Callithrix jacchus: one gene and its partners. The protein of the gene in region 4 binds, or shares a complex with, the protein of the main gene of each other region. Links are inferred from orthologs where the notes say so. Each region holds a gene or a part of one and is shown on either strand. Other genes may lie near its edges. The genes, in order: GRB2, ITGB3, NTRK1 and SHC1.

What was found.
Region 1: the proteins of SHC1 (region 4) and GRB2 are in contact, whole or in part, in an NMR structure (PDB 1QG1), measured with the Homo sapiens proteins. The link is inferred for Callithrix jacchus from reciprocal best matches to the Homo sapiens genes SHC1 and GRB2. Residues at the interface, in NP_892113.4 of Homo sapiens: Asp423, Asp424, Pro425, Ser426, Tyr427, Val428, Asn429, Val430; in NP_002077.1 of Homo sapiens: Arg67, Glu71, Arg86, Ser88, Ser90, Asp94, Ser96, Gln106, His107, Phe108, Lys109, Leu120, Trp121.
Region 2: the proteins of SHC1 (region 4) and ITGB3 are in contact, whole or in part, in an NMR structure (PDB 2L1C), measured with the Homo sapiens proteins. The link is inferred for Callithrix jacchus from reciprocal best matches to the Homo sapiens genes SHC1 and ITGB3. Residues at the interface, in NP_892113.4 of Homo sapiens: Ser175, Met176, Arg177, Asn182, Arg184, Thr185, Gln186, Thr188, Arg189, Glu190, Ser193, Leu194, Arg208, Arg209, Lys210, Arg214, Pro215, Leu216, Ser217, Ile219, Met257, Gln258, Ser259, Ile260, Ser261, Phe262, Ala263, Ser264, Gly265, Pro268; in NP_000203.2 of Homo sapiens: Trp765, Asp766, Thr767, Ala768, Pro771, Leu772, Tyr773, Lys774, Glu775, Ala776, Thr777, Ser778, Thr779, Phe780, Thr781, Asn782, Ile783, Thr784, Tyr785, Arg786, Gly787, Thr788.
Region 3: the proteins of SHC1 (region 4) and NTRK1 are in contact, whole or in part, in an NMR structure (PDB 1SHC), measured with the Homo sapiens proteins. The link is inferred for Callithrix jacchus from reciprocal best matches to the Homo sapiens genes SHC1 and NTRK1. Residues at the interface, in NP_892113.4 of Homo sapiens: Met176, Arg177, Ala178, Leu179, Ser259, Ile260, Ser261, Phe262, Ala263, Ser264, Gly265, Gly266, Lys279, Asn283, Arg285, Ile301, Ile304, Gly305, Phe308, Glu309, Phe312, Lys313, Gln314, Tyr315; in NP_002520.2 of Homo sapiens: His489, Ile490, Ile491, Glu492, Asn493, Pro494, Gln495, Tyr496, Phe497.

The regions. Positions count from the first base shown.
Region 1 is NC_133506.1:131,302,178-131,309,629, forward strand, and holds the start of GRB2 (growth factor receptor-bound protein 2), read right to left. Parts: upstream 4,417-7,452; 5' UTR 4,203-4,416; intron 1-4,202. UniProt on the Homo sapiens protein: Non-enzymatic adapter protein that plays a pivotal role in precisely regulated signaling cascades from cell surface receptors to cellular responses, including signaling transduction and gene expression.
Region 2 is NC_133506.1:87,183,462-87,190,336, forward strand, and holds part of ITGB3 (integrin beta-3), read left to right. Parts: intron 1-3,720; coding exon 3,721-3,887; intron 3,888-6,777; coding exon 6,778-6,843; 3' UTR 6,844-6,875. UniProt on the Homo sapiens protein: Integrin alpha-V/beta-3 (ITGAV:ITGB3) is a receptor for cytotactin, fibronectin, laminin, matrix metalloproteinase-2, osteopontin, osteomodulin, prothrombin, thrombospondin, vitronectin and von Willebrand factor.
Region 3 is NC_133519.1:17,256,693-17,264,051, forward strand, and holds the start of NTRK1 (high affinity nerve growth factor receptor), read left to right. Parts: upstream 1-3,473; 5' UTR 3,474-3,544; coding exon 3,545-3,756; intron 3,757-6,958; coding exon 6,959-7,033; intron 7,034-7,334; coding exon 7,335-7,359. Other genes in the region: INSRR (insulin receptor-related protein), read right to left, coding at 1,201-1,285. UniProt on the Homo sapiens protein: Receptor tyrosine kinase involved in the development and the maturation of the central and peripheral nervous systems through regulation of proliferation, differentiation and survival of sympathetic and nervous neurons.
Region 4 is NC_133519.1:15,381,684-15,389,142, forward strand, and holds the start of SHC1 (SHC-transforming protein 1), read right to left. Parts: upstream 4,126-7,459; 5' UTR 3,905-4,125; coding exon 3,410-3,904; intron 2,812-3,409; coding exon 2,741-2,811; intron 2,205-2,740; coding exon 2,141-2,204; intron 1,987-2,140; coding exon 1,867-1,986; intron 1,632-1,866; coding exon 1,578-1,631; intron 1,406-1,577; coding exon 1,354-1,405; intron 1,172-1,353; coding exon 1,045-1,171; intron 510-1,044; exon of another isoform or gene 1-509. UniProt on the Homo sapiens protein: Signaling adapter that couples activated growth factor receptors to signaling pathways. Participates in a signaling cascade initiated by activated KIT and KITLG/SCF.

The DNA of each region.
Region 1 (7,452 bases), on a different chromosome or scaffold from region 4:
ACAGGCACGCGCCACCATGCCCAGCTAATTTTTTGTATTTTTAGTAGAGACGGGGTTTCACCATGTTGATCAGGATGGTCTTGATCTCTTGATCTGGTGATCCTAAAGACGAAGTTTTGCTCTTGTTGCCTAAATTGGAGTTCAATGGCAAGATCTCAGCTCACTGCAACCGCTGCCTTTCAAGTAGCTGGGATTACAGGTACACACCACCAAGCCCAGCTAATTTTTTTTTTTTTTTTTTTGAGATGGAGTTTCACCCATTACCCAGGCAGGAGTGCAATGGCACGATCTCGGCTCACTGTAACCTCCGCCTCCTGGGTTCAAGCAATTCTCCTGCCTCAGCCTCCTGAGTAGCTGGGATTACAGGCACCCGCCACCATGCCCAGCTAATTTTTTGTATTTTTAGTAGAGACGGGGTTTCACCATGTTGACCAGGATGGTCTCGATCTCTTGACATCGTGATCCACCCGCCTCGGCCTCCCAAAGTGCTGGGATTATGGGCGTGAGGCACCTTGCCCAGTGAAAATGCATTTTAATACACCTAACCTACCAAACACCATAGCTCAGCCTACCCTACCTTACCCTAAATGTGCTCCAAACACATTAGCCTACAGTTGAGCAAAATCGCCTAAGACAAAGACCATTTTATAATCAAGTGATAAATCTCTCCTATAATTTACAATTGTACTAAGAGTGAAAAACAAAACAGTTGTATGTGTAAGTACAGTTTTTACTGAGTGCTGTTGCCTTCACGAGTTAAAAAATCTAAAGTCTAGTCTGAGTCTACAGACTCAGAAAAATTCTCTGGTAGGCAATTAATGATCCTATTAAGTATAAACTTCCAGTTAATTCACTCCCCGTCACAGTACTAAGAATGCTAAAAAATTTTCACATGTAAAAACAAATCGGAGAGGCGCAATGGCTCATGCCTATAATCCCAGCACTTCAAGACAAGCAGATCACCTGAGGTCAGAAGTTTGAGACCAGCCTGCCCAACATGGCAAAACCCCATCTCCACTAAAAATACAAAAAATTAGCCAGCCATGGTGACAGGTGCCTGTAATCCCAGTTACTCAGGAGCCTGAGACAGGAGAATGGCTTGAACCCAGGAGTCAGTTGCAGTGAGCTGAGATCACACCAGTGCACTCCAGCCTGGACTACAAGAGCGAGAAACTCCATCTCAAAAAACGAATCATGCCTATAGTCACTTATTCCATTAGGCTATTCTAAATACTGACTTTGTGTATACACAAAAAATGTAATTTTAAGTTTAATAATTTAAAGCTACACAGCAGTCTTATTATTTATGGCTGCATTTGTTAACAACAGTTTTGATCCTTAGACCATCTGTATCAAAATCCCTCCATTCAGAGACTGATTCACTAAGGGAAACATCCTGGAGTTCTACCAGAACCTAATTTTAAAAAGATCCCCCAGTGATTTTTATGCATACTGAATTTTCAATCACTGCTGTACCATAAGGATGCCTTAACCAGATTTTAAAATTTGCATTCCAGATAATGCACTACAACGTCCTTGCATGAAATGAAAATAACGTATATTCACTTGGCACAACTGGGAAAAAGGCAACTTTGACACACACACAAAAATACACTCTCAAAAGCCACTTGGTAATGGCGGAGACTTCCTCTGAATTAAGCAGTTAAGAATTAATTTCTCTCAGGAGAGCATGGTGACTCTATTCTGTATTACTTCCTTTCTCCAAAATCCTTTGCTCTTCTGTTCTATGCAACAATTAGAACTCCAATGCACAATATGCAACATAACAGGAATTACTGAAAAGAATCTCTAAGTACCAGCAACTGGTAGTACTTAAAACCCAGCAAACCTCTCAAATCGGAATAACTTGCTGACAAGTTAAGTGCCTCAAACATTTAAATGTCTGAGTTTAGGCTCCGCACAGGAGCTCACACCTGTAATTTCAGTACTTAGGGAGGCTGAGGCAGGCAGATCACTTGAGGTTAGGAGTTCGAGACCAGCGCGGCCAACATGGTGAAACCCCGTCTCCACCAAATACAAAAATTAGCCAGGTGTGGTGGTGAGAGCCTGTAATCCTAGCTACTTGGGAAGGTGAGGCACAAGAGTGCTTGAACCCAGGAGGTGGAGGCTGCAGTGAACCGAGATCCTCAGCACCACTCACTCCAGCCTGTGCAAGAGTGAGACTCGTCTCAGATAGATAAATAAATAAATACATACATACATACATACATACTAGGAGATAGCTGATCATAAGAATTAACTCTTTTAAATCTTGAGATTGGGAACATTTTGAACTTGGGAAGGAGCAAATAGAGATTTCTTTGTCAAAAACAACAACGAAGGCCAGTTATAATAGATGCAGAAAAAAGATCCCTGATTTTTAACTAAAAGCCTAACAAAGAATAAATTAGTACTACTACAACGCGCAGGCTTCAACTAATTCGATGGTCTAAATCAGTTCTAGCCTCTTACATTTTTCAGACTATTTTAACCTAATATAGACTTATAGTTGACCTTCACTTTTTAACATTAACACCCCCCACTAAAAGTCAAAAAGTCACATAAGCCCTGAGCTGACCCAATATTCCTTACTATTATAAAGACATACTGGAAGAAAGCATAAATAGGTACAAAAGCATAATCTTAAAAAACTAAAACACAAAACAACAAACAAACCACACTTGTAACCTAGTGGCAGGACTGAATTCTTAGGGATTAATTCAATCTTTTTTTTGAGACGGAGTCTCGCTCTGTCGCCAGGCTGAAGTGCAGTGGTGCGATCTGAGCTCACTGCAATCTCCGTCTCCCGGGTTGAAGCGATTTTTCTGCCTCAGCCTCGAGTAGCTGGGACTACAGGCGCGCGCCACCACACCCAGGTAATTTTTTTATTTTTAGTACAGGCGGGATTTCACCATGTTGGCCAGGATGGTCTGGATCTCTTGACAAAGTGCTGGGATTACAGGCGGGAGCCACCGCACCCGGCTGAATTCAATCTTTTGAGCCCCCCACCCCCTTCTCAGCGGGGGAACCTCAGCCTCCAATGGCTCTCTAGCAACCCTTCTGGCTGACTAGCGAACGCAGGGGAAAGCGCAAAAGTAAAGGCACCAAAGCAGGAAAGAGGATCTCTTCCCGAGAAAAAGGACGGAATCTTGAAATCAGAGAAAACTAACAGTGCGAAAGGGAAGAAACCTCGAAAAATTACGCCAGAGTGGGGACTACCAAGGAGGAAGGGGAAGTAGATTAGAAAAAAAAAAGAGGGGGGTGGGGGAAGGAAGGGGCAAATGACTTGCATTACACAAGCACTTCTTGTCCCTAGTGGAATGGACAGAAGTAGATAGAGAGGTAAGGAAATAACTGGAGAAGTACTGAGTGAAAGAGGGGTTAAGAAAGCCAGGGACTAATGCTGATTTCTCTCATGTGTCTGACATTTCTGAAAGTCAACAGCATCAAGAAGAGACACACCTCAAATGCACTTCAGTCCTCTGCAAACTGCACTTTCATAGCCTTTGAAGCCAGGCTTGAAAAACTTTCCAAACAAGCCATAACTCATATGTGGTTTACAATCACAGAGAGGGCGCGCTGCAAATGAAAATTACCAGCGCCCGCTCTCGCCGCAATGTTTCCTCGGTGCAGTCCAACCTGCTGCTGCTTAATTTTTCAAATAATTTTTTTTTAAGTCTCAGAATAAAGACATCTCCCCCGGGGAGATGAACGTTCTACCCCACCGTGGATTCCCGCACAAAATTAAGCCCAAAGACGCCAAGAGATGGTGACGTGGTTGTCATGCAGGTCGGAGGCGCATCAATCACCACAGCTGCAGCCCACACCAAGTCCCCCGCCGCCGGGATCGGGCGGACTGACTCAGTCGGGGTTTTGCCCTTCCGGGCTTCCCAGGCCCCTTTCGTGCAAACCCTTCCGACGAAGGCAGGGGACTTCACGAGGGAGCCCCGACTTCTACCCCCGGGCTCCCGGACACTGCACAGACAGCCGAGAGCCGGAGGAGGACGTTCCCCAGGAAGGAAGCGCCCCAAAAGGGGAAACGCAGAGTCCAGAGCCTTGGGCATTCCACTCCGCGTCCCGAGCTTCGCCGCCCCGACCCGACCCCAAGGGCCGGGGTCCCGGTTCCCCCAGGGCCCACTCCCGTCGCAGAGCGGAGAGGAAGAGACACAGGAGCGGCGCCGAGCGCAGCCGCCCGCACTCACCGTGGCGCAGCTAGTCCGCTCCGCGTCGGGCCTGACCCACCTCAACGCTGAGAGCGGCCGCCGACCCCGAGGCTGCTCCGCGAGGGCGGCGCTTGCTCCCGCCGCCGTCACGGTCACAGACACAGAAACAGACACAGACACAGCCTCAGCCACAGCCGCCGCCGCCGCCGCCGCCGCCGCCCGGTCGCCGAAGCAGCAGAGCCGCCTCGCTTCCGCTCGCCGTGGGTGTCCCGCGAGAACTTCTCCACGAGGCCCCGCCCCGCCCCGCCCCCGCGAGACTTCCCCCGGCGGAAAACGCCCAAAGCGCAAGCGCTCCTCCTGGGCCGGGCTCCGGCAGGTAGTGACTAGCTAGGCCCCAGGGCGCATGCGCCAGACCGCCCGCAGCAGGTGGCCTCGTCACGGCTCCGCCCCTGGGTCGCCGTAACCCTCTCGGTACCAGAGCGGGTAAATAACAGCTTAGTCCTGAAGGAATAAATTCTTACCCCGTCTAATCACTTTCTTTTCTCCTCTACCAAACCAAGGCAATTGGATATGGATGGGGGCTGGGGGGAGGAAGAGAGTTTCCAGCCTGAAGCACTCCAAACAGAAGACCAGGTCTTGAAATATTTGAGAATCCGTACAAACTCTGCAATGTTGAATGATTGGTGGGTTTGTTTACTCATTTATTTAATTATGTGCCTAATATAGGCTGAACACTGTGCTGGATATAGAACAGAAATCCTGGTCCTTAAGGAATTTACGGTCTAGGGAAGCAGAGAAAAATAAACAAATAATGCCATAAGTACTGTTATTTGGAGTTTGCTGAGAAAGCTAAAAAGATGGAAGAAGAATGGCTACTCTGCCCATTGCAAAAGAGCCTTTACAGAGGTGATGCGGCGATGTCTAAGCTGAGTCTTGGGGGATGAGTAGGAGTTTGCCAGGCAGAGAAGCCAGAGTAAGGGCATTTCAGGGAAAGGGAATGGCACGTAAGTACAGAGGCTAAGTACAGCGGAACGGAGGCGTGAAAGTCGTGTGCTGTGCAGTGCTAAGTAGTTCAATTCCTGTATGAGGCCGGTGAGTATGGGGGAGTGGCAGAAGATGAGGCTTCGGTAAATAATTCTTGTTTTTCAGTTATCAAAGCTCTTTCCAATTAAAGGATAGAACAGAACACACCTAGTGTTAATGTGTCTTCTGGAAGCCAAAAAAATAGCGTTGAGATGAGAATAACCAAGCATCTGATTGTACAGAGGAAACAAGCCCATTGAAACACAGAAAATGAGCCGGGCACGGTGGCTCAAGCCTGTAATCCCGGCACTTTGGGAGGCCGAGGCGGGTGGATCATGAGGTCAAGAGATCGAGACCATCCTGGTCAACATGGTGAAACCCTGTCTCTACTAAAAATACAAAAAATTAGCTGGGCATGGTGGTGCATGCCTGTAATCCCAGCTACTCAGGAGGCTGAGGCAGGAGAATTGCCTGAACCCAGGAGACAGAGGTTGCCTTGAGCCGAGATCGTGCCATTACACTCCAGCCTGGGTAACAAGAGCGAAACTCCGTCTCAAAAAAGAAAGAAAGAAACACAGAAAATGAAATGTTGAAATGTTCTTTCACCAAGTTTTTATTGAGCATCACCTGTATGCAAGGGGCTTTGCAGGATAAATGACCAACCAGATAAAGCCTCTGCTTTCAGTGCTTTGTAATCTAGTTTCCTAGTCTGTAAGACAAGCAGTTGACCCCAAGTGCCACTGAACTACACATAGGGATGGCTGAGGAGGGATCCAGTACTTAGTGCTGAGCTAATCAAGAAGGACTTGGTTTGAATGGCAAAGTGACAGCAGAGAGAAAAGAGGGAAAAAAATCTGCCAATTTCTTTTTTGGGGGGGGGACAGAGTCTTGCACTGTTGCCCAGGCTAGAGATGCAGTGGCATGATCTCGGCTCACTGCAACCTCCGACTGCTGGACTCAAGAGATTCTCCCCTCTTGAGCCCAGGAGTTCTGGGCTGTAGTGCACTATGCGAGTCGAGTGTCCGCACTAAGTTCGGCATCAATATGGTGATCTCCCGGGAGCGGGAGTTTGCCTAAGGAGGGGTGAACCAGCCCAGGTGGGAAACGGAGCAGGTCAAAACTCCCATGCTGATCAGTAGTGGGATGGCACCTGTGAATAGCCACTGCACTCCAGCCTAGGCAACATAGCGAGACTGTCTCTAAAAAAAAAAGAGAGATTCTCCCACCTCAGCCTCCCAAGTAGCTGAGATTACAGGTGCCTGCCACCATACTTGGCTAATTTTTGTATTTTTAGTACAGGTGAGGTTTTGCCATGTTGACCAAGCTGGTCTCAAACTCCTGACCTCAGGTGATCAGCCTTCCAAAGTGCTGAGATTACAGGTGTGAGCCACCACTCTCAGCCATCAGCCAATGTTTTTGATTAGTCAGAGCCTAGAAATTGGGGGCAAGAGTAATTAGAGAGAAGGCCAAAATGCAAAATGCATGGCTTAGGTGTCATAGTCAAGTGATGGGCAACCTCTGAAGGTTTCTGAACAGGAGATATCTGATGTGAGGTGAAAAATAACAAAAGGACCCTCTATTTACCACTTGATGCATACTTAAGTCATAGCGCCTCCACAGGGTGGATAATATCTCCATTTTACAGACTTGGAAACTAAACCTTAGAGAGGTTAGTAATTTACATAAGGAAACCAAAATATAGTAGACCTAAGATTTGGACTAAGGCCTGTCTTGTTCCAAAATCCACATTTTCCCCCCACTATGCCACTTCGTTCTAAAATAGCAGGCAGAAAAAGAATAGAAATGAAAGGGAAGGACTTGGCTGCTAAGCAGAGAGGAAGACGTGAGGGAAGAGTTGCAGTTTTTTGTTTTGAGTGGGCCTGGGAGAACACAGAAATTTGCCAGTCAAGAGGTGTAGCTGACTGAAGGGGGCGGGCACAAAGAACAGGGAAGGGCAGGTGAGGAGATGATTGTAGAGGTGAAGGGAATTTTTCCCTTCCCCTCAGACAGTTTGAGTCTGCTGAAATAAACTGGCAATAGATTAACAGGAGAAAATGCATAAAAATTTATTGACAGGCAGTGTGCGCATTTACCATACAGAATATGAGATTCAGAGAAGAGCTAGGTGGCTGAAGCTTAAAGAGCACCATCTTTATAGAGGAGAGGGAGATGAGGGCAGGTCGGCAATATTGAGAGGTAGTAAATGATTTTTAGGGAAAAGGAATGAGCCCAATGACCTGGGACGAAGTTCGTCTGAGCTCTGGGA
Region 2 (6,875 bases), on a different chromosome or scaffold from region 4:
ATGGATTAAGATGAGTTATTGGAAAACATTTTTGAGTATTTACTGCCATTACACCCCTTCCTCCACATTAGGAGAATGGAGCCCAGATCCATAGACCTGTGTTTTCAATTGTTTTTTTGAGATAGGGTCTCATTTTGTCATCCAGGTTGGAGAGCAGTGGTGTGAACTTGGCTCACTGTAGCTTCAACCTTTTGGGCTCACACAATCCTCCCATCTCAGCCTCCCTGGGACTACAGGCATACACAACGACACCTGGCTACTTTTTAATTTTTATTTTTTGTAGAGATGAAGTCTCACTATGTTGCCTAGGCTAGTCTTAAACTCCTAGGCGCCAGTGATCACTGCCACCCACCCCCCAGCCTCAACCCCCACAGTACTGGGATTACAGGTATGAGTCATTGTGCCCGGCCAACGTATCCTATGTTGTTGCCCTGGAATTCTAGGCTCTGCCTCCCCACTCATCTCCCAGCTCTAATCATTTCCTGGCTTGTAGTAGAATGTTGCAGCTGTGGTCTCAGACAATGGGGGAGATCATTCTTTTCTCTTCCCCAACTTAAGATCTTGCAGGTGCTCTCTTTGAAGGGCTGATCTATGATAGAGCAGTAAAGACAGCACTGCCAAACGTTTTGGCATTGGCCAAGTGGAGTTTAACCACATGGAATGAGCTCCTGAGCTGGGCTCTTAACACTCCCAGATGTGGTTGCCAAATAAAATACACTATGTCCCATATAATATTTAGTACACGCTTATAGTAAAAAATAATTATTTATCCGAAATTCAAATTTGTCTTGGCTTCCTGTTTTTTTTTGAGACAGAGTCTTGCTCTGTCACCCAGGCTGGATTACAGTGGTTCAATGTTGGCTCACTGCAATCTCTGCCTCCTGGGTTCAAGCAGTTCTCATGCCTCAGTCTTCTGAGTAGCTGGGATTACAGGTGCCCACCACCACACCTGGCTAATTTTTGTATTTTTTAGTAGAGACTGGGTTTTACCATGTTGGCCAGGCTGGTCTTGAACTTCTGACTTCAAGTGATCTGCCTACCTTGGCCTCTCAAAGTGCTGGGATTCCAGGTGTGAGCCACTGCACCTGGCCAAGCGTCCTGTATTTTTGTTTGCTGAATCTGCCAACCCTACCCAGACTTCTCTGACCTTAGGTCATTTGCCATTGGTCTACTGCTGTGGCTGGAAAGACCTTCCAGAGGTCACCTGATCTGGCCTTCTGCTTCTAGGAAGCCTGCCCCAAACTCCTCTCCAGATACATGGTTAACAAATTGTTTTCCCCTGAAGACCTTCTGGCACCCTACCTGTCCTGCCCATACTAATATGTAGAATTGAAGAGATTTTACTTTGAGAATTGAGGGTCAGCCCTATCCAAGTCTTCCAGAGAATCCATAATTGTTTTTCCCAGAAGAACTGGGGCCCTTCACTCCTGGGAACTTGGACACTGGAACCTCACAGTTTCTCTCCAGGCACTCATTTAATTATAGACATGTTGTAATTTGGCAGGTTGGGAGACAGCCAGCTTGGGTTGTGGTGGTGGTTGTTTTTGTGTTGTATGTGGTGAGCATTGGGTGTATGTTTAGAGAGGAAGGTGGAAGACAGTGTGGAAAGTGGGTGTGACTTCCTCTCCAGGCTCATCAGCACCCTCATATATAAACAGCTGGTTTCATAACACTTGAGGTTACTGGAGTAAGATCACCTATTAGATACCTGACATTTATGGGAAGTAGAGCTCTGCAGAGTATACTCAGTCTGACCCCCAGAGGGATGACATGCCTCTGTGGTAGTTGTTGACTGGGGTTGAACAGGAAGTCAGCTTTCAATAGGGTTATGATTTTAGATGACTAATATTTTGGGAAAGAACTCAAAATATTGTCTTGGCTGGCAGATCCTGGTCTCTAAGAATGCAAAAAATGTCATTAGGTTCATAGCCTTCAGGAATGTAAATATATGAACCAGGATAACAGAAACAAATACTTGCAGGGGCTAAGGAAGCAAATAAGTTAGTGAAAACAGCTGGGTATAAGAAGATCACTTACAATGGTAGCTGATATTTACTGAACACTTTTGCTGTGCCAGGCATTGTTCTGAGTTTTTAGGATATATTTAATTTAATTATTCCTCATAACACGTTTCTTTTGAAGTCAGTGCTATTACTATCTTCATTTTAAAGATGGAGAAACAGGAAACAGACATTCAGAAAGGTTAAGTAATTTTCCAAATATCATGTAGCAAAGTTAAGTCACAAGTCAGGATTCAAACCCAGGGAGTCTCACTCTAATGTCCGCAGGAGCACAGACACACCAAGTCACACTGCCTTCCTTTAGGAAAGAGACGAGAGAGTGGTAGGGATTCTGGTGAACTAGAAAACATGCATTCTAACTAAAAGGAGCAGCTCCTCTTCAGCTCTAGCTAGCTGCTGCCCTGCAGGAATATAGGTACCAATGTTTCTAGCTCTTTGGACTTACCTTCTTTCTTTCTTTCTTTTTCTTTTTCTTTTTTTTTCTCTCTACCTCCCCCTCTCTCTCTTTCTGTCTTCCTTCCCCCACTTCTTTCTTCCTTTTTTTGAGATAGGGTCTCCCTCTGTCATCGAGGCTGGAGAGCAGTGGCATGAACTCCCAGGCCTTGACCTCCTAGGCTCAAACGATTCTCCCACCTCAGCCTCCTGAGTAGCTGGAACTACAGGCATATGCCACCATGTGTGGCTAAGTAAAAAAAATTGTAGCAGCAGGGTCTCACTATGTTGCCCAGGCTGGTCTTGAACTTCTAGACTTAAATTATCCTCCTGCCTCAGCCTCCCAAATGCTGGCATTATAGGCGTGAGCCACTGTGCCTGGCCTGGATTTTCTTTTTAAAGAGAATAATATAAATTTTAGGGGGAGAATCTCCTGATTATTCAGTATTGCCAATAAAATCAATTTTTATTTTTTATTTTATTTCTTTTTTTGAGATGGAGTTTTAGTCTGTTACCCACGCTAGAGTGCAATGGCACGATCTTGGCTCACTGCAACCTCCACCTCCCAAGTCCAAGTGATTCTTGTGCCTCTGCCTCTCAAGTAGCTGGGATTACAGGTTTATGCCACCACACCCGGCTAATTTTTGTAGTTTTAGTAGAGACAGAGTTTTACCATGTTGGCCAGGTTGGTCTCGAACTCCTGACCTCAGGTGCTCTGCCCACTTTGGCCTCCCAAAGTGCTGGGATTACAGGTGTGAGATACTGCACCCAGCCAACTTTTTATTTTTTAATTTTTAAAAAATGTTTCTTTAGCTATAGAGGTACATGTGTGGGTTTGTTCTGTAGATAAGTTGTGAGTCATGGGGTCTGGTGTACATATTATTTCATCACCCAGGTAATAAGCATAGTACCTGATAGGTAGTTTTTTGATCCTCACCCTCCTCCCACCCTCTACCTTCGAGTAGGTCCCAGTGTCTGTTGTTCCCTTCTTTCTGTCTAATTTTTAAAAGAAACACTTGGGTGAACCCCCACACAAAGGTATGGCTGGGTTCTGTCTAGAGATTACCAGGTCTAGGCTTCTGATTTGAGCCACTCAGGACAGATTATTGCTGTCCTAAAGATTGTCCGTTTAAAAAATTAATTTTTGAAAACTGTCCTATTTCCATCAAGGACTTTAATTACTTTGTCAAGAACACTTTATTCACAGCCAGTTCAAGTGACTCCTGCTTCATTCACAATTACCCTGCTCTGTGCTTCTTCCTGACAGAGTGTCCCAAGGGCCCTGACATCCTAGTTGTCCTGCTCTCAGTGATGGGGGCCATTCTGCTCATCGGCCTTGCTGCTCTGCTCATCTGGAAGCTCCTCATCACTATCCACGACCGAAAAGAGTTTGCTAAATTTGAGGAAGAACGTGCCAGGGCAAAATGGGACACAGTAAGAGGCTGGGCTGGGCGTCTTCTAAAAAGTCATTGGTCTGAGACTCTTCAGTGGAAGGAGCAGATGCTTTGGGTGGTCAGGTTCAGCCAGTGCCATCTGTTATCCTCTGTTCTAGAAACTGGGAGAGATGGTTTCACTGTCCCCTTGTCCTTCGGCTTCCTAAAAACCTACCATACAGTCACTAGGAGCCACGTCAGGTAGTACTGACCAAACACAGACAGGACCCAGCTTTGCCCTGACCCTGAAGGAATGAGAAAGAAACATATTCTCCAACTGAGGAAGACAAGACAACCCTACACTGAGAACACATAATGTATTATATGCTAATGATGCCCAAAGCCTTAAACACAAATAGGAAAAAATATGATCACTAACATTTCCTGAGGATTCGGCATATGCCTGGAACTGTTCTGAATGCCATTTATGTATTAACTTATTTCATTCCTCTAACAACATTACGTGGTGGGCAATATTATTATTCCCATTTTGTAGGTAAAGAAACTGAGTGCAGAGAAGTTAAGAACTTTGCCTGATTCTGGGAGGGAATTAGGTTACTATAGGGATACTTTTTGGGTAGCCTCTTAGAGATAGAGGCAGGATGTCATTCCACCTCATTCTTTTCTTTTTCCTCAAATAAATTGTTACTTCAAGGCTGGGTGTGGTGGCTCACACCTGTAATTCCAGCACTTTTGGGGGCCAAGGTGGGCAACATGGCAAAACTCCATCTCTATGGATGGAGTTAGCCAGGCATGGTGGCGCACGCCTATAATCCCAGCTGTTTGGGAGGCTGAAGCAGGAGAATCACTTGAACCTGGTAGATGGAGGTTGCAGTGAGCCAAGATTGTACCGTGCTCTGGATGACAGAGAAGGACTCTGTCTCAAAAAAAAAAAAAAAAAAAAAAAAAAAGTTTGCTTCCAAATCAGACTCTACTCTTTTATTCTTATTTTATTTAATTAAACAAGCATTTACTGAGAACATTCTATATACTTAATCCTACTGTATTCCCTTTTGACTCTTTTTTCACATTTCAACTTTTTTCCTGGACCCTCCAAATGGCCATTTGACTCCCCTAATGTCCAGGGTTAGGATTAGGCTGCAAGTTTGTTCCCATTTGATGGTGACCCCAGAGTTTTGTACTCAAGGGTCCCGTGAAACTGAAATGTTTCTGTTAGAACAGTGTGGAACATCCTGTACCTGTGAGTCCCACAAAAATGTGTTTCATGAAGCTACCATTAAGGACTTCTAGACCTTATGGGATTTGTTACCTTTTTTTTTTTTTTGAGACGGTGTCTTGCTCTGTTGCCAGACTGAAGTGCAATGGCACGATCTCAGCTCACTGCAACCTCTGCCTCCCAGGTCCTGGTTCAAGAAATTCTCCTGCCTCAGCCTTCCAAGCAGCCAGGACCACAGGCCTGCACCACCATGCCCAGCTAATTTTTGTATTTTTAGTAGGGACCGGCTTTCACCATGTTGGTCAGGATGGTCTCAATCTCCTGACCTTGTGATCCACCTGCCTCTTTTGGAAAATATTTTGGGAAACCTAGCGAGGGTCTTACTTTTTCCTGGTCACATGACAGTTTTGTGGATAATGCTTCCCCCTCCCATCTCCTCCCCTCCCCTCCCCTCCCCTCCCCTCCCCTCTCCTCCCCTCCCCTCTCTTCCCCTCCCCTCTCCTCCCCTCCCCTCTCTTCCCCTCCCCTCTACTCCCCTCCCCTCTCCTCCCCTCCCCTCTCCTCTCCTCCCCTCTTCTTCCCTCCCCTCTCTTCCCCTCCTCTCCCTCCCTTCCTTTACTTTCTCTTCCCTCCTTCCTTCTTTTTTTGAGACAGGGTCTCACTCTGTCACTCAGGTTGGAATGCAGTGGTGCCATCACAGCTCACTGCAGCCTTGATATCCTGGGCTCACTTCCCTACCTCACTTCCCGAGTAGCCAGGACTATAGGCACACACCACCACAGCCAGCTAATTTTTGTATTTTTTTCCCATGTAGAGACAGGGTCTCACTCTGTTACCCAGGCTGGTCTCGAACTCCTGGGCCCAAGTGATCTTCCTACTTTGGCCACTCAAAGTGCTGGGATTACAGGCATAAGCCACCATGCCCAACCTTGGTTAGTGCTTGGCAGGATTAGATGAAAACAATTTAAAAATTATCTGAGCAAAAGCTGTCCTCTGTGTTCTGAACTCCACCTGCTACACTTCTGTCCCTGTCTACATCTCCCATCACTGTCAAAGGGAATGGAAAAAGGGAGAAGGGCAAAAGAGATGGGGACAAGGGTGAAACAGGAGAGGTTCTGCTCTGGAATGCTGTGGGATCACTGAAGAGTAATAGGCTGAATTTAGCTCCTTAGAAATAGTAGTGGCGAACAGGTGTGGTGGCTCACACCTGTAATCCCAGCACTTTGGGAAGCTGAGGCAGGTGGATCGCTTGAGCTCAGGAGTTTGAGACCAGCTTGGGCAACATGACAAAACCCTTCCGTACCCCATCTCTACAAAAAATGCAAAATTAGCCAGGCATGGTGGTGTGTGCCTGTAGTCCCAGCCACTTGGGAGGCTGAGGTGGGAGGATGTCTTGAGCTCGGGAGGTGGAGGTTGCAGTGAGCTGAGATTGTGCCACTGCATTCCAACCTGGGCAACAGAATGAGATCCTATCTAAAAAAATAAATAAATAAGAAATAAGAAACAGTGGCAGGATGGCATTCTACCTCATCTCCTCCTGTTATTTCCTATCAATTTTCGTGCCAAGAACTAAAGTGTGAGTAAAACGAACATTTTTCTGTTTCATTAATGGTGTATTCTAGAGAAGGTTGCCTTGGGAAAACTTATCAGATGAATTTGGGTTAGGGAAGGACTGAAGAATTCACCGTAAGACGCTTTTCTGTTTCCTCCACAGGCCAATAACCCACTGTATAAAGAGGCCACATCTACCTTCACCAATATCACCTACCGGGGCACTTAATGTTAAGCAGTCATCCTCAGATCATTATCAGC
Region 3 (7,359 bases), about 1.9 Mb from region 4:
CCATTTTGTTGCTCTCCTGTCTCCATAAGAAGGGGAGACTCCCCTGCCTCTGGAAGCCCCCAGTCTGAGGGGCATCACAGGATCCCTCAGGCAGGCACCAAGTGCTGGATTCCTGAGCTGGTTCAGTCTGGAGGGGAATGGTGGGACTGAGGAAGGGGATACCCCTTAATCCTTCCCTTTTTGAAGCTTCCACCCTCAGCTCTTTTTCATCTTTCCATCAGGCCCCCCAGTACCTCCATGACGGTCATTTAGTCTGTATAGTTCCCCCCACCCCTCCACCCCCGTACTCTCCATCTCTCTCTCTTTTTTTTTTGAGGTAGAGTCTTGCTCTGTTGCCCAGGCTGGAGTGCAGTGGTGTGATTTCAAGCAATTCTCTGCCTCAGCCTCCTGAGTAGCTGGGAGTACAGGTGCCTGCCACCACACCCGGCTATTTTTTCTTTTTTTTTGTATTTTTAGTAGAGATGGGGTTTCACTATCTTGGCTAGGCTGTCTTGAATTCCTGACCACGTGATCCACCTGCCTCGGCCTCCCAAAGTGCTGGGATTACAGGCATGAGCCACCCTACCTGGCCTCACCGCCATACTCTCTAAAACCTAATCATGGGCAGTATCTAGCCTGGGGGACAGGCCCTGTGAAAAGCAGTTGAGGAAAAGCAGTTTCCCCCAGAACCAGCCTTCCACCCCGTAGTGATTGGACCCTAAGGAGGGGGGACACACAGGACCACAGGACAGGGCCCTGGAGGCCGGCTCAGGACGCAGTCTAGCGTCACCCTTAGTCCCCTGAGCGCAGTCTTCTGTCTGCAGCATTTGCCTCCATTACTTCATGGTGCCTGGTCCTCAGCTCCCTGTCCCACCCTGCTTCTTCCCATTCTGTGGCCCCAGAGATGACTTCTAACACTCACAGCCTCATTTTGGTTTTCAGGCAAGCTTTACTGGGATTGCAGTTTCACTAGTAGGGATGGAAGATATCTATTCGTCCCCGTTTTGAAGCCCTTTTCCCCTCTGAGGGAGCTGAGGGAAAAACACCTTTATGCGGGGAACTCACTGCTTCTCCTGCTGGGCGGTTCTCCTGAGAGCTAACCGCAGCCTCCATGGTCCAGTGCAGAGTAAGTGGATGTTCCGTGGCTGCAAGCCCAGATGTCTGGCTTCCCAGTTGGCTGGGAGAGAGGTAGGGGTCTGGGAGCCAGTTCTGGGGACTCACCCTCTAGTGCATCCAGGCCAAGTCCCAAGGAGAGGACGATCGCAGGCAGGCATGCTCCCCAGGGCCACAGACCAGGTACTGCCATTGTCCCAGTCCTGGCTTGTGTCCAGTCCCAGCTCTTCTGGTGGCTCTGGGGAGAAGAGTTTGACAAGCCCTAAGGGACACAGAGACCAGGGTTCAGATAGGAGACGGAGGGGGCAGGGGCAGAGGCAAGGAATCCCACACAGCAGGAGACAGAAAACAAGAAATGAGAGTCACAGAGACACAAAGATAGTGACAGGCAAGTGGAGACAGAGATGGGGACAGAGATGCAGACAGTGACGGGTGGAGTCTCGGGCCTCCAGAGGCAGAAAATGACACAGGGTTCTGAGCAAAAGGCAAGCCAAGAGGCCGGCCAACCCTGAGGGCGGAGCAGAAGGCTGGGGACGCTCCCAAGAAGGGCAGCATGAGACTCCACAGGGAGAGTCTCCCTGGATCCTTCTGGGCCCGCGGCCCCCCAGCGCTGGCTGACCGCGCTGGCTGCGGTCTCTCCCAGGGCGGGCACGCAGGGGCCGCGCCCAGCCCGCGCCCAACTCCTGCCCTCCCTGCCCCCCGCCGAAACAGATTGGTTCACAGGGATCTCTCAGTTCTCTCCGCCCCTCCCCCGCCAAGCCAAAATATTTAGCCTGACAACTGAGGGGAGAAGAGATCTGTTGGGGAAATAAGGCCAAAATACAGGGGAGGGTGGGTCAAGAACTGAGCGTCCCCAAACTCCGCTGTGGCTGCGACGGGTCCCCCCAACCCCTTAGCCACACCGCAGGCTTCTTCCAAGTGGGCTGCACGGCCGGAGGGGCAGCCAGCGCCCGGGCTTCTGGGGAGCGCTGTGTCTAGATTCTGCTCCCCGGTGCCTTGACATCTGCGGGGTAACTTCTGGCAGCCTCGACCCGGGAGAACCTGGACAGCCCATGGCCTCTCGGAGCCTCTCTCAGCCTCCGAGGAGGCCGCCTTGTCCTCTTTGGAGACCCCTTAGTGCCAGGCTCCCTCACTGACTAGTACCTTGATTCTGACCAAGATCCCGATCAAGAGGGCGATCACTGTGTGGGGCTCTGCCTCCCTCTAGTCACTTTCTTGAGCTCAGGCTTCTCGGTCAGTCTGTGTGTCCCTGTCTCGGGAACTTGGGGGGCCGTCCGTGCTGGGGTCTTGGCAGAGAGGAGAACCGTGACCCTCTAGGAGGCTGTCCTTCGCTTGCTCCCTGGGGCCTTACCTGTCCCCCCGCCAAGAGAGACCCCTCTCCCCCTCTCTCTCCACAGCTTGAGACGGATGGGCTCCGGCAGCCACAGAGGCTGGCGCGGTGGGAGGGGTTAGGACCAGCCTTCTGCTGCCCTGGGTGCTGGAGATCCCGGGACTTTCCAGGTGCGCGGCCTCCAGGGGCGGACGGGTCCTCAGTTCCACACGGGGGCGGCTCCCGCGTCGGAGGAGCTAAGAGAAGATCTATTAATTTCTTCACGAATAAATCGATGCTCTTGTCAGGGAGGCGATCCATGTCGGCCCTGTCCTGCCCCGGGGCCAGCGCTGACTGGCCGGGGTCAGGGACTGAAGCTGGGACCCGAAACGTTGCGCATTGGGGGCTGCAGATCGCGCCCCCAGCCACCGGCCCGGGCGGGGAGCTTGTACCTTTGCGCGCGGGCTTCTCGCGCCACCCTGTGGCCTCTCTTGGAGGCGCGGTCTTGGCTCACTCGACTCCCTTCGGCCGAATTAGGCGACCCCTTCCCTTTCTCTGGCCGGTCAGTGTCTTCCTCCCAGCTTCTGCAATTGATCCTTTTATAATCCTTTTCCTTTTCTTCCCAGAGTTCGGAGTGTTCTACCTAACTTACTCCAGGTGACATGCGCACTTCCCCAGGCACTCGCTCCGTGAGGATGGAGCGCCGAGGCTGGGGCTGGCTAGGTTGACCTGGACGGCAACCTTCACTAACTCAGTCATCTCCCCGCCTCCCCAAATGTAAAAATGCAGCTGCTTTAAGCTGGGAGAAATAACGTATCAATTTCCCACTCCCAGCCTCAGCAGACACCTCCCAGCCGTTCTGCAGCAGCCCCTCCGCATCTCCCGGAGCTGGGGGCATCCTCGGGGAGAAGGTTGACCCTGGGGGCCCCTAACAGCGGAGGGGACGGAGTTGGGGGCGTCAGAGGGGAGGAAAGGGGGTGGAGACAAGGGGCGGGGCGGGGACGGGCGGGGGCCTCTGGCTCCGCCCTTTCCTGGCGGCTGGGTCTTTAACACCGCCCGGCGCACATGTCGGGGGAGGCCCGGCAGCTGCAGCTGCGAGCGCACAGACGGCTGCCCCGCCAGAGCTAGGCGGGCACCGCCGCGATGCTGCGAGGCGGACGGCGTGGGCAGCTCGGCTGGCACAGCTGGGCTGCGGGGCCAGGCAGCCTGCTGGCTTGGCTGATGCTGGCATCTGCAGGCGCCGCACCCTGCCCCGATGCCTGCTGCCCCCACGGTCCCTCGGGACTGCGATGCACCCGGGATGGGGCCCTGGATAGCCTCCACCACCTGCCCGGCGCAGAGAACCTGACTGAGCTGTGAGTGTTCGGCGGGCGAGGGGGCTCGGGGACAGGCAGGCATTGCCGTGCCCCGAGGGCGCTAACTCGCCACTTGTTTGCTGGGTCAGGCAAGGCCATCACAGTGGAGGGCTGGCACCACGCAGTCTTCGGCGGTGCCCGGGCGTTCCTCCGCAGCCGCCGCTGCCCTAGCAAGCTTTATGGTGACAGCCTGGATGTTTCCTAGTGTTCAGGGCAGCTGGGCAGCCGGCTTCAGGGAGATCGAGTGGGGAATCTCCGTGGACCAGGTCTGAAAGAGCCCAGTCGTCTAGAAGCCACACTTTCTGGAGCTCAGCCAGGAGCCCCTGCCCTGTCCCACTAGAGAAGCGTGGTGCGGAGAAGTCCCCAGTTTGACACCCTTACTGCCAGCCCCCACCCATTTCCTTGTTATGATGAGGCAACCCCAGCTTTTCTCCTGGAATTGGGGATTGAGCTGACATTGGTGGGAGGTGGTGAGGAGCGTAGCTGGGTGGTTGAGCTCTCCTTTTTGCATTTTTACCATTCCTTGTCCCAGGACCCCTTGATTTGGATCTGGGAAATGGGACCCCCTCCTGGATTTTCTCTCCCCACTCCCATCTCCCTCTCCGACCGGGACTCTCTACCTGGGGTAGGGAGTCAGGGTCCTTGCTGAGAGACCCTCCTCCCTCTGGGGCACAAAACTGGGAGGAAGCTTCAGCATTCTGCAGGATTCTGACATTCTGCAGGAATTGGTTACAAAATACTCAAGTACTTTTTAGCAGCGGGTGAAACCTATGGTAGCATGCGGTAATGATTGGCCTGGAGGTACTCAGGCATTACATGGTGATGGCTGGAAAATATTTGAGTATTACATACGACCATCGTGGCCAGTGAGACGTCTAGAAGAGGGGAGGAACTGCTAGAAAATTCTCCTCCTGTGGCCTGGGGTTTAAAAGGTGGACAAGGAACCCTAGCCTAGTGCAGTGAGGGACTGGAAGGTATCCGAGGTGGAGCCCATCACTGTCTGGAAGGTACCCGAGGTGGAGCCCATCACTGTCTGGAAGTTTCTTGAGCACCTCGAAATAATTGGCACTGAGTTACTCGGGTTATCTCATGGTAATTAACGGGAAGGTACTCAATTTCCCGAATGGCTCTAGGGAGACCAGGAGTAGAGGAGATGGCTTAGTCTTGGTCTGGCTTAGGTCTCTGCATGATGGGAGGGGGCATGAGATACGGCCTGCCAGTCCTAGTGCAGTTCTCATCACCCTGGGCCTTCAGACTGGGGTCCAGACTCCTGAGTGCTCCCCATCAGGGCTCACATTTCCCAACTCCTTCTAAACCCCAAGTGGGTCTGGCAGGGTAGGGATGGGAGTGGTAGGGGGAGTGGACAGGTCAGGGCTGGGGACTAAGTGGCGGGCAGTCTGCAGGCATGAGCTGAGATGTCCCCCTGGGTGGGGCTGCAGCCTGACACCCCCTCCCCACTGCCTCCACAGACCCCTCCCTCCTCCCTCACCCGCAGAGCTAACGAGCAGATAATGGACTCGAATAGACAGATTGATTATGAATCCAAACGAATGAGGCAGCTTTGGGGCAGCTTTGAGCAACCTGGCCTGACAGCTCGCACACACCCTGCCAGCCCACCGCATTCTCACCCCCTCCCTGGGTCCCTCCAGCTTGAAACCCTCTGGGCAGGGGCTGGGGGTGGGTAGAATAGAGAGATATGCCCTCCCTCAGAGTCAGTGGAGGTTACTTTCTAGGCCTCCACTGAGTCCATGGGGAGACTTAGGACCTGACCCTGCTGTCCTGCTGGGGCCAAGGCTGGGAAGGGAGGAAAGGAGGAAGGGAGTTTCACTCAGGCTGGTCCTGGTTCCTACAAGTTAGGGAAAGTTAGAGGGTAGAGGGAGAGAGTTCTCAGAACTGGCAGTGAGTCAGGGGCCCCTGGCGTGTATTGTTGGGGTGGGGGGGCACACTAACATGCCACTGCAGGGCAGCCGAGTTCTGAGGAGCTCCCTGGTACGTCAGATCCAGCAGCCAGGCAGGGCCCGGGGCGTCAGCTGTCCCCCAGCTCCGAATGCCTGCTCTTCCTCTTTCTTTCTTGTCTCCCTGTCTTGCTTTCGGTGCCTCTCTGTCCTTATCTCTCTGTCTCTCTGTCTCCCTTCTCTCATCTGTCTTCTTTCTTGCCTGGCGCTATCTCTCTGACAGTCTCTTCCTGTCAGTTTCCCTTTCAGTGTCTCTGTTTCACTCTCTCTCTGTTTTTCTGCCCTTCTGCCCCCACGCTCCTCATTAAGCCTCGCCATCTTTCTCTCTCTCTTTTGCTGTGGGAGTCAGCCAGTCTGTGTCGTTCCCCCCACCCCAACACTGACTGCATCCTCTCATCCAGGAAGAGGACTGTCCCTCTCCTCTTCCTGGGTCCCTTCTCGGGGTCTCTGACGGATAGCCTCTAAGCCTCTTGCTTGATCTGCTGAAAAGATGGTGGGGGAGGTTTGGGTGGAGTAGGGGGTGCTCAGGTGTGGAGATGGGTCAGAGGCTATGGGGGTGCAGAGATGCTAGTGTGTGTGTGTGTGTGTGTGTGTGTGTATAGCAGTACAGGTGAGTCTGGGCATGTTTGGGAACACACATTTGCATGAGCACAGGCTTCGTCTGTGCTGGGTGGGGCAGTGGCAGGACGCGCCTCAGCCCTTTGTGGAAGCAAGTGTTTCAGCATGACCTCCCATTGGTGAGTGTGTGCCAGGGACGTCTGATGTAAAAGCAGAACACCGACCTGAGAATGGGCTTGTGTGTGTGCACGTGGGAGATGTATGCCAGCTTTGTTTCTGTGTGTCCCTGTGTGAGCGTGTTCATGCAGCACACGTTCATGTGTGCATGTGCATGAGTGTCATCTGTGCAGATGCTTACGCCTCTGTATGTGCGCATGTGCACACCTGGCTGGGTGTGTGTGTGCAAGAGGTATGTGAGAGTGCATATGTGTGAGGGTGTGGGGAATCCATGCATGTGTGTGCGCATGTGTGTTCATGGACACATGTGCACGTGTGACTTGAGGAGGTGCATCTCTATGCACATGTATGCATTTGTGTGTGCATGCCCGTGTAAGTGTGTATGCAGGTCTGAACAGGTGCACATGTGTGTGCCTGTGAGGTGCATGTGTATTGTGAGGGAGGCAGGCGGGTGGGCATGAGAACTCAAGTATGGGCCTGAGCCCTGTGACTCTTATTCCTTCTCCCCACAGCTACATTGAGAACCAGCAGCATCTGCAGCATCTGGAGCTCCGTGACCTGAGGGGCCTGGGGGAGCTGAGAAACCTGTGAGGGAAATGGGGGCTGTGGGTGTGGAGCTCAGCATGGGCCCAGGAAGGGGTACCAGAAAGTCGGGGATGGCTCAAGGATCCGAGGGCCTGGGAGGACTTGAGGGGCTGAGGACTGAGGGACTGGGAGAGGTCAGGAAGCTCAGGGCTTTGAGGGGTCTCGGGTAGTTGAGGAAACAATGAGGGGCCTGGGGAGGGGGAGGAGCTCAGCATGGGGGACTGGAGGGCTGGGGTAGCAGGGAGAGCCAGGGACCCAGAAGAGCTGAGACCTGGGGACTGATCCTCCCGCACCCCTCCCCAGCACCATCGTGAAGAGTGGTCTCCGT
Region 4 (7,459 bases):
GGTTAGGCCTGAGGCTGAGTGTGTTATATACCTAATCATTTCATTCTCCTGGCAACCCCATAAGATAGGTATTGTTTTCTTTCCTAGTTTTACAGATGAGGCAAATGAGGATCAGTGGTGAAAAGATTTGCCCAAGGTCTCACAACTAAAAGGTGACAGACTCAGATTTAAATTCAGGTTTGACTTTAAAGCTTATGCCCTTGGGCAGGTGCAATGGCTCATACCTGTAATCCCAACACTTTGGGAGGCCAAGGAGGGAGGTTGTTTGAGCCTAGGAGTTCAAGACCAGACAGGGCAACGTAGTGAGACTGCCTCTACCAAAAAAATAATAATACTTAGCCAGGTGTGGTGGCATGCACCTGTAGTCCCAGCTACTCAGGAGGCTGAGGTGGGAGAATCACTCAGCCCAGGATATGGAGGCTGCAGTGAGTTGTGTGATTACACCACTGAACTCCAGCTTGGGCAACACAGCAAGATTCTGTCTCAAAATAAAAAAGTAATGCTCTTGCCCTTGATCACTGTGCTATCTGCCAGCAAGGAAGGGAAGCATTATGTAGTGAGGTGGGGAGAAGGCACTACAGAATAGTTTAACCTCTCCTAATCAGTCCCTCCTGGCGCCACTGCTTATCCCTCACGGCCAGAGGTGGGAAACACTAATCTCAGGGAAAAGAGATATCCTCACAAACCCAAATTCTTGATGGCTTCTGGAAGCATTAAAATACAGAGTGTCAGAGAAATGGGCAAGCAAGAGGGATGGGAGTAGAAAAATCTCATCTAGCCAGAGAGAGAGATGTAACTTGGATGCCTCAGACTGCAGCTCCACCATGAGCAACAGGAGGAAAAGCTGGCCCTGCAGCAAGCAGGGCCTCAAGAGTCTTTCCTTGTGGGCCACAGGAAATGGAAGAATCACAGGAAGGGGGAAGCAGAGGCACGCAGGTTATTCCCTCCCTAAGCCTCTCAGCTCAAGTGTAGGAAGAGCAGCCCTCCTTTCCCAATCCTGTTCTGGGGCTTAAGAGCTGCTGCACATCCTCCCCACCTGCTCACCTGTCATGGGGGGTGACCAGTTTGGGTGGGTTCCTGAGGTATTGTTTGAAGCGCAACTCGAAGGCCTGACCAATGGTGCTGATGACATCCTGGGCAAGCCCTTCAGGACACTCCAGAATGTGGCAGGCTGAGGGCACAGCAGAGGCGGTCATTGAGCTGAGCCCACTGGGAGGAGGCATAGACAGGGCCCTCATCTTCCTCAGCAGGAACCCCTACTTAGCTCTACTTAGCAAAAGCGGGTGCAGACCCCAGGTCCCGCTCATCTCCTCAAACAGCCGGACCCACCCAGTGCTCCCCACCATGCCTCACCTCTCTGATTCACAGGGTCTTTGGCAACATAGGCGACATACTCGGCTGTGTCCTGGGGAGGAAGGTCAGAAAATGTTACAGCTCCACTTTACTCCTAACCCCTAAAACCCCGTCCTTTTCAGATATCCCCACAATCCTAGCACCCCCACTTCTCTAATAAATGTCTTCCCAATCCCTAGCCCCTTGCTCTTCTCCCGCCACCTTTGCTCTGTTCCCCAACTCACCGGATCCCCGCCGGATGCAAATGAGATAGATTGCATGTGGTGGTTGGCGATGATCTGAGAATCAGGGCAGGGGATGAAGAAGGAAGGGAATGCCATGCGTCAGGCGCCTCAGGGCCCAGAACCCTCACACCCAGTTTCATTCTCTGGGTTCCTTATCCCATATCCTCACTTCCTCCGTCCCTACTGGTCTCTTGCTCTCAAGCCCTCTTCCTAGTTTTTGGCCTCCTAACTAGATCTCCCCTTAGCACCCCCACCAGTGTTTCTAGTCCCCCTGCCCAACTCCACCAACCTGCTTGCAGTCTGCGGCCATGAGGTTGAGGCTGCTGGTGGAGATGGTGAGAGTGATTGGCATCCCAGCAAATTTCAGGTTACTCCTTCCCAGGATAGAGCTGAGCGGGCGGCTACAGGGCTAAGGTAGGGCCCAGGGTCTCAGAAGGTGAGGGTTCCCAGCTCCGGCAAACCACACTCTTGCCTTCTGGCCTTCCCCCACATGCCCCACACTTGCCTTCCCCCTGCCCCTCACATCTCCCAGCTGCATCCCTATCCCCAAGGACCCCAGATACCTTTCTCCTCCTTGTCGCCCCCTTAGCACCCGGCACAGCCTCACACACCAGACTGATGGCCTCCCTGGGGAAAGAGGGGTACTCAGACCCAGTGCCTGCCTGCTTCCCACTCAGCTGGGGCTGCCACAGGGCTGGGGGAGGGGAAAGCCAGGCCAGACTCCCAGGGCACTCCAGGCTCTTTGTCGTGGTGGATTGAATTAAGGGCCTTTAATATTTGATGACACTGAGAGGCCGCTTCCTGGCTGATTGGGTTAGGGCCTCAATGGGTACAGACCCACCCACTTCCAGCTACCAAATGTCCCATTCCCTTCCCAAAGGCAGCAGCAACCTTCCATCTACCCCCATTTTCTACTCCAGCTCTACCTGCCAGCTGCTTCTGCCACCTTCCCCACAACTCCCAAGGATGGATAGGTAAGGAGGATCCAGGCCAGAGGGGCCTCCTTTCAGTAAGATACAGAATTACCACCAGCTTTCTCTCAATCCCCTCCACTACCCAAAGATCAGCCCCCACCAGCAGCACTCAAGTGACCACTCCCCTCCTCCCTTTCCTGTGGCCTCACTAACCCCGGGACTCCCCCAATCCACTCCCTCCCCACTAACCTGGTGACCTGAGTCCGGGTGTTGAAGTCCAGGGCACGCATTGACTGCAGGACCTCCACACAGCCCATGTACTAAGCGGAAGGAGGGGAGGACAGCAGGTCAGCAGCTCCCCCACCCCAGCCCCTTCACAAAGGGCCCTAGGACTTTGCCCACATGGTCCTTAAGGGAAGTAGAGATGGAGAGGTTCTGCCCACTTCCCGTGGCTACATCCCACAATCAAGGTGAAAGACAACAGGGAATGAGGAGAGAAAGAAAGGCAGGCTAGAAAGAAGGACCTCGCACTGGGGAGAGAGTTTGGAGGGGACCGACAGGCATTGGCTGGGATGGAGTGACAACTCCAGAAAGCAGGAGGAGAATGGAGGGGAGGATCAATAAGTCACTCATTCCAACACTTACTAAGAGCTTCTGCCATGCTGGGCATTGTGCTAAGCATGGCAGGGTAGAGGTGGGGGTGGGGGAGTCAAAAGAAGGAAGGGGGCTCAGGCAGAGCTGGAAGGGAAGGGACTACAGAATCAGGGAAGGGATGGGAAAGGTTTAGGAAATAGGACACTGAAACGGGGTTGTAGAACAGCAGGAGAAAAGAGATTCCAGCCAAGCTGGAGTGAGCAGAACTGGGGGGGGGGGGGGGGCGGGGGCTGGGAGGGAGTGGAAGAGAGAATGTTCACTCACCCGAACCAAGTAGCAAACCCCGGGTCCCATGACTTTGTCGTTGGGATGCAGCCAGCCCCGTGTGGGCTTATTGACAAAGCTCCCGTGGCGGGTCCACTCCTCGCCCCCCAGCTGGCCCCCTTCCACCCGAGTCCTGCGCCCGCCGCCTCCACTCAGCTTGTTCATGTCCTGGAGGAGGGGTAGGGGGCCTGAGTCTGGCATGGCTGCCCCTACGATCCCCTCCCCATCATCGGCTGCCCTTCCTGGCTCCCCCTTAGGCCCGGGGCGCCCCCCAGCCGGATTGGCGAGCCTCAGGTTGCTCATCCGCGGGAAGAAGGAGCACAGGGTAGTGGGACTATCGTCCCCAGGCAGAGGAGGCAGGATGGGTCCCAGGGATGAGGCTGATGGGGAAGGCAGCTCCTCCGGGGGGGTGGACCCTGAAGCCCCCTCCTCCAGCGATGACAGAGACTCATTCCGGAGTGGATTGTACTTGGGCTTAGGGGGCAGGAGATCCATAGCTGAGGTGAGAAAGGGGCTGCTGCCCGGCCTGGCCCCCCTGCCAGTTTGGGCAAGGGGGCCAGGCAGAGGGTATCCCCAGGCCCTTAGCCTGGTCGGACCTCTGTGGCCCAGGAGTCACAGAAGTCCTGGGGAGGGAGAGGGACAAGTGGGTTCCGCTCCCCAGCTCAGACCCAGACAGTTTCAGGCCCCATCCCCGCCCAACGTGGAGCCTCTTCTCTGGCTGAGAAGAGAACAGGCTGGACCCAGAGCTGCCTGGCTCCTCCCTGGGGGCGGGGAGCTAAGGAGAGAGACCAATCCGGAGGACAGTGCTGACTCACAGGCTCAGAGGGGCTGAGCCCCACCCTGCCCCAACCTCGAACTCTCCCCAGCCCTATACAAACAACTAGTAATCTGGGGAGGAGTAAAGTGGGGGGTGGGAGGAGAGGATGGAGAAATAAGACGGAAAGGAGGGAGATAAGAGGAGGTGCGGGTCACTGGAAACCGGACACAGGCAGACCAAAGGGGCCAGGAAGCCAGGCGAGAGTAGAGAGGAATGAGGGAGGAAACGGAGGCAACTGGGGGTGGAAAAGGGAGGAGATCTCAGAGCTCAGCATTTCCCTTCCTGTCCTGGTTGAACACTAGAATTCCCCCATTCTCGAGCCCAGGCCACCCCGCACCACTACCACATACAGTGAGCCTGGGCCATTAGCATCCTCTGCTACAACAGCTGTGGACTGGAGCTAGCGAAGTGGGGATGGGAAGGAAGTGGTCCCAATGGATGCAGAGCAGGGTCAAGAGGAAGAGCAAAGCTGGTGAAAATCAGGGAATAAAGTCCAACCTGGATGGTACATCAGGAAGCTACCAGGCAAGAAGTGAACAAGAGGACATGCTGGTCACAGCTTGTTCTCTATGCGCGGCATCTACCACACCAAAGAGCTATGGCTCACAGCCAAGCACTATCCAGTCTCCCCTTTCCACAGGCTTAACACAGTACATTGTCAAGGGTGAGAATGAGGCCTCAGGTCCCCACACCCACTCCAAACCACCCCACTTCATATCCCTGCTCTTACAGGGCCCTAAGCCCCACCAAAGAGTACAGTGTCCCTCACACCTGGGAAGGAGCCTGGCTGAAAGAAGAAACAGTTCTCCAAGAGACATAGAAGCTACACGCCAGGAAAGGACAGAGAGATCAGAAGACGCATCCATGTCAATAAGGACAGGAGAAAAAATAAGTACAGGACAAAGGGATGTCAGGAGAAGACGGGCTGAAGCTGGCACAGGGAACAGTCCCAATCCCATTCCCGCCACCCACGGCTTCCTGCCACTGCTCTTCTGGAGAATGCCATAGGAAAGCTGGAAAGTGACCAAAAAAACAAGTTAAAGATACATATTCCCACCAGGTGCAGTGGCTCACGCCTGTAATCCCAGCACTTTGGGAGGCTGAGGCAGGTGGATCACCTGAAGTCAGGAGTTCGAGACCAGCCTGGTTAACATGGTGAAACCCTGTCTCTACTAAAAATACAAAAAATTACCTGGAAATGGTGGCAGGTACCTGTAATCCCAGCTCTGGAGGCTGAGGCAGGAGAATTGCTTGAACCCAGGAGGTGGAAGTTGCAGTGAGCCGAGATCAAGCCACTGCACTCCAGCCTGGGTGACAAGAGTGAAACTCCACCTCCAAAACAAACAAAAAAAAAGATACATATCATCTCAAGCTCACCTTGGAATTACCCTTAGATTTACTTGTGGATTTATATATATAATATGATTATCCTGATTAACAACATTAACACTTAAAGTGTGTTAGATACTGTGCTTAACTTTTTTTTTTTTTTTTTTTTTTTTTTTTTGAGACAGGGTTTTGCTTTTCGATCTGTCCCCCAGGCTGGAGTGCAGTGGCATGATCTTGGCTTACTGCAACCTCCAACTCCCGGGCTCAATCAATTCTCCTGCCTCAGCCTCCTGAGTAGCTGGGACTACAGGCCCATGCCACCACGCCAGGCTAATTTTTTGTATTTTTAGTAGGGATGGGGTTTCACCGCATTAGCCAGAATGGTCTCGAGCTCCTGACCTCGTGATCTGCCCTTGTCAGCCTCCCAAAGTGCTGGGTTTACAGGCATGTACCACCGTGCCCGGTCACTTAACTCTTACATCTCCACTTAGTGCTCATTCCAGGAGAGCTTTGTCACTCTGTCAGCTAATCCTGAGAAGGAATTTTATCACTTCATTTCCAGCCATCTCTCAGGCATAGAGAGAATGAGGAAAGGATTCCACCATAGCCTCACACCCCCAAAACACACAAACACACACTAGGATGTCCTCATCTGTGGAGATGATATTCTGTGGGAGCTTGCAGTATCCAGAGCCAGAAAATGACCGATGGGTGTGGGCGTTTAGAAGAAAAGAAAGAAGTATAACTCTTTAAATTTGCATAGGGAGAAAGAAGATTGCCTACTGGAAGTCCAGGTGATTGGGTGTAGGGGAAAAGCTGTGTGTGGCTTCTCAGCCCAACTGGGAGGAGGGGAGAGGAGCGGGAAGTAGCAGGAAATGGCGAAAGCCTCAGGAATGTTTCCAGCAGAGAAGGCTGGGCACACGGGACCAGGAGGAATGCCCAGAAAAGATCTCTGATTAGGGGGAGGGGAAGAGACAGAGAAGTAGCGACTGAACTGTCCCTTAAAAAAAAAATCAAACAAAAAGAGTATATTATCTACTGCCACTCCAAACCACCGTTTTTCTGGTAGTAGAAAACTTTCACTCCTGTCACACCCACATGCCACACACCAACAAATCCATGGTCCTATCCACTGATGTATAGGTAAAGCCTAGAGCTATTTCTGGGGTGGAGTTGGTCCTAGGAAGGGAAAGCCAGGAAGTGAGGCTGGGAGTCTTGAGAGCAAGTCTCTCTCCCTCTCATGCCAAACCCCAAGTTCAGCCCCTTCAAATAGCTCTACCCTTAGAGGAAGTTAAGAAAGGGGAAAACAGGCGCGGTGGCTCACGCCTGTAATCCCAGCACTTAAGGAGGCCAAGGCGGGTGGATCAGGAGTTCGAGACTAGCTTGGCCAACATGGTGAAAGCCCGTCTCTACTAAAAATACAAAAATTAGCCGAGCATGGTGTCGGGTGCCTGTAATCCTAGCTACTCGGGAAGCTGAGGGAGGAGAATCACTTGAACCCGGGAGGTAGAGGTTGCGACGAGATCGCACCATTGCACTCCAGCCTGGGCAACAAGAGCGAAACTCCGTCTCAAAAAAAAAAAAAAAAAAAGAGAGGAAAACGGCTGCCTTTAATCTTATGCCTCACAGCCAGAGATGGGAATTTTGACTTCCCACTTGGGGGAGCAGAAGAGTGCTCGGAAAACTGATCCCAAGGCCCCCAAAAAAGAGAAAGGACAGGGAAATATAAACAGGTGGAGTTTCAGGGATTGAAATCAAGGCTTTTCAGTTGAGGATCTAGGTCCCACAAAGATAAAACTACCAAGGGGGCGTGGTCCCCTAGGACTAGAGCATTAGACTTCTAAGCAGGGAGGCTTTCTGGACAGTCAGATGTAGATTACAGAAGGGGCGTGGTCTCAGAGGGG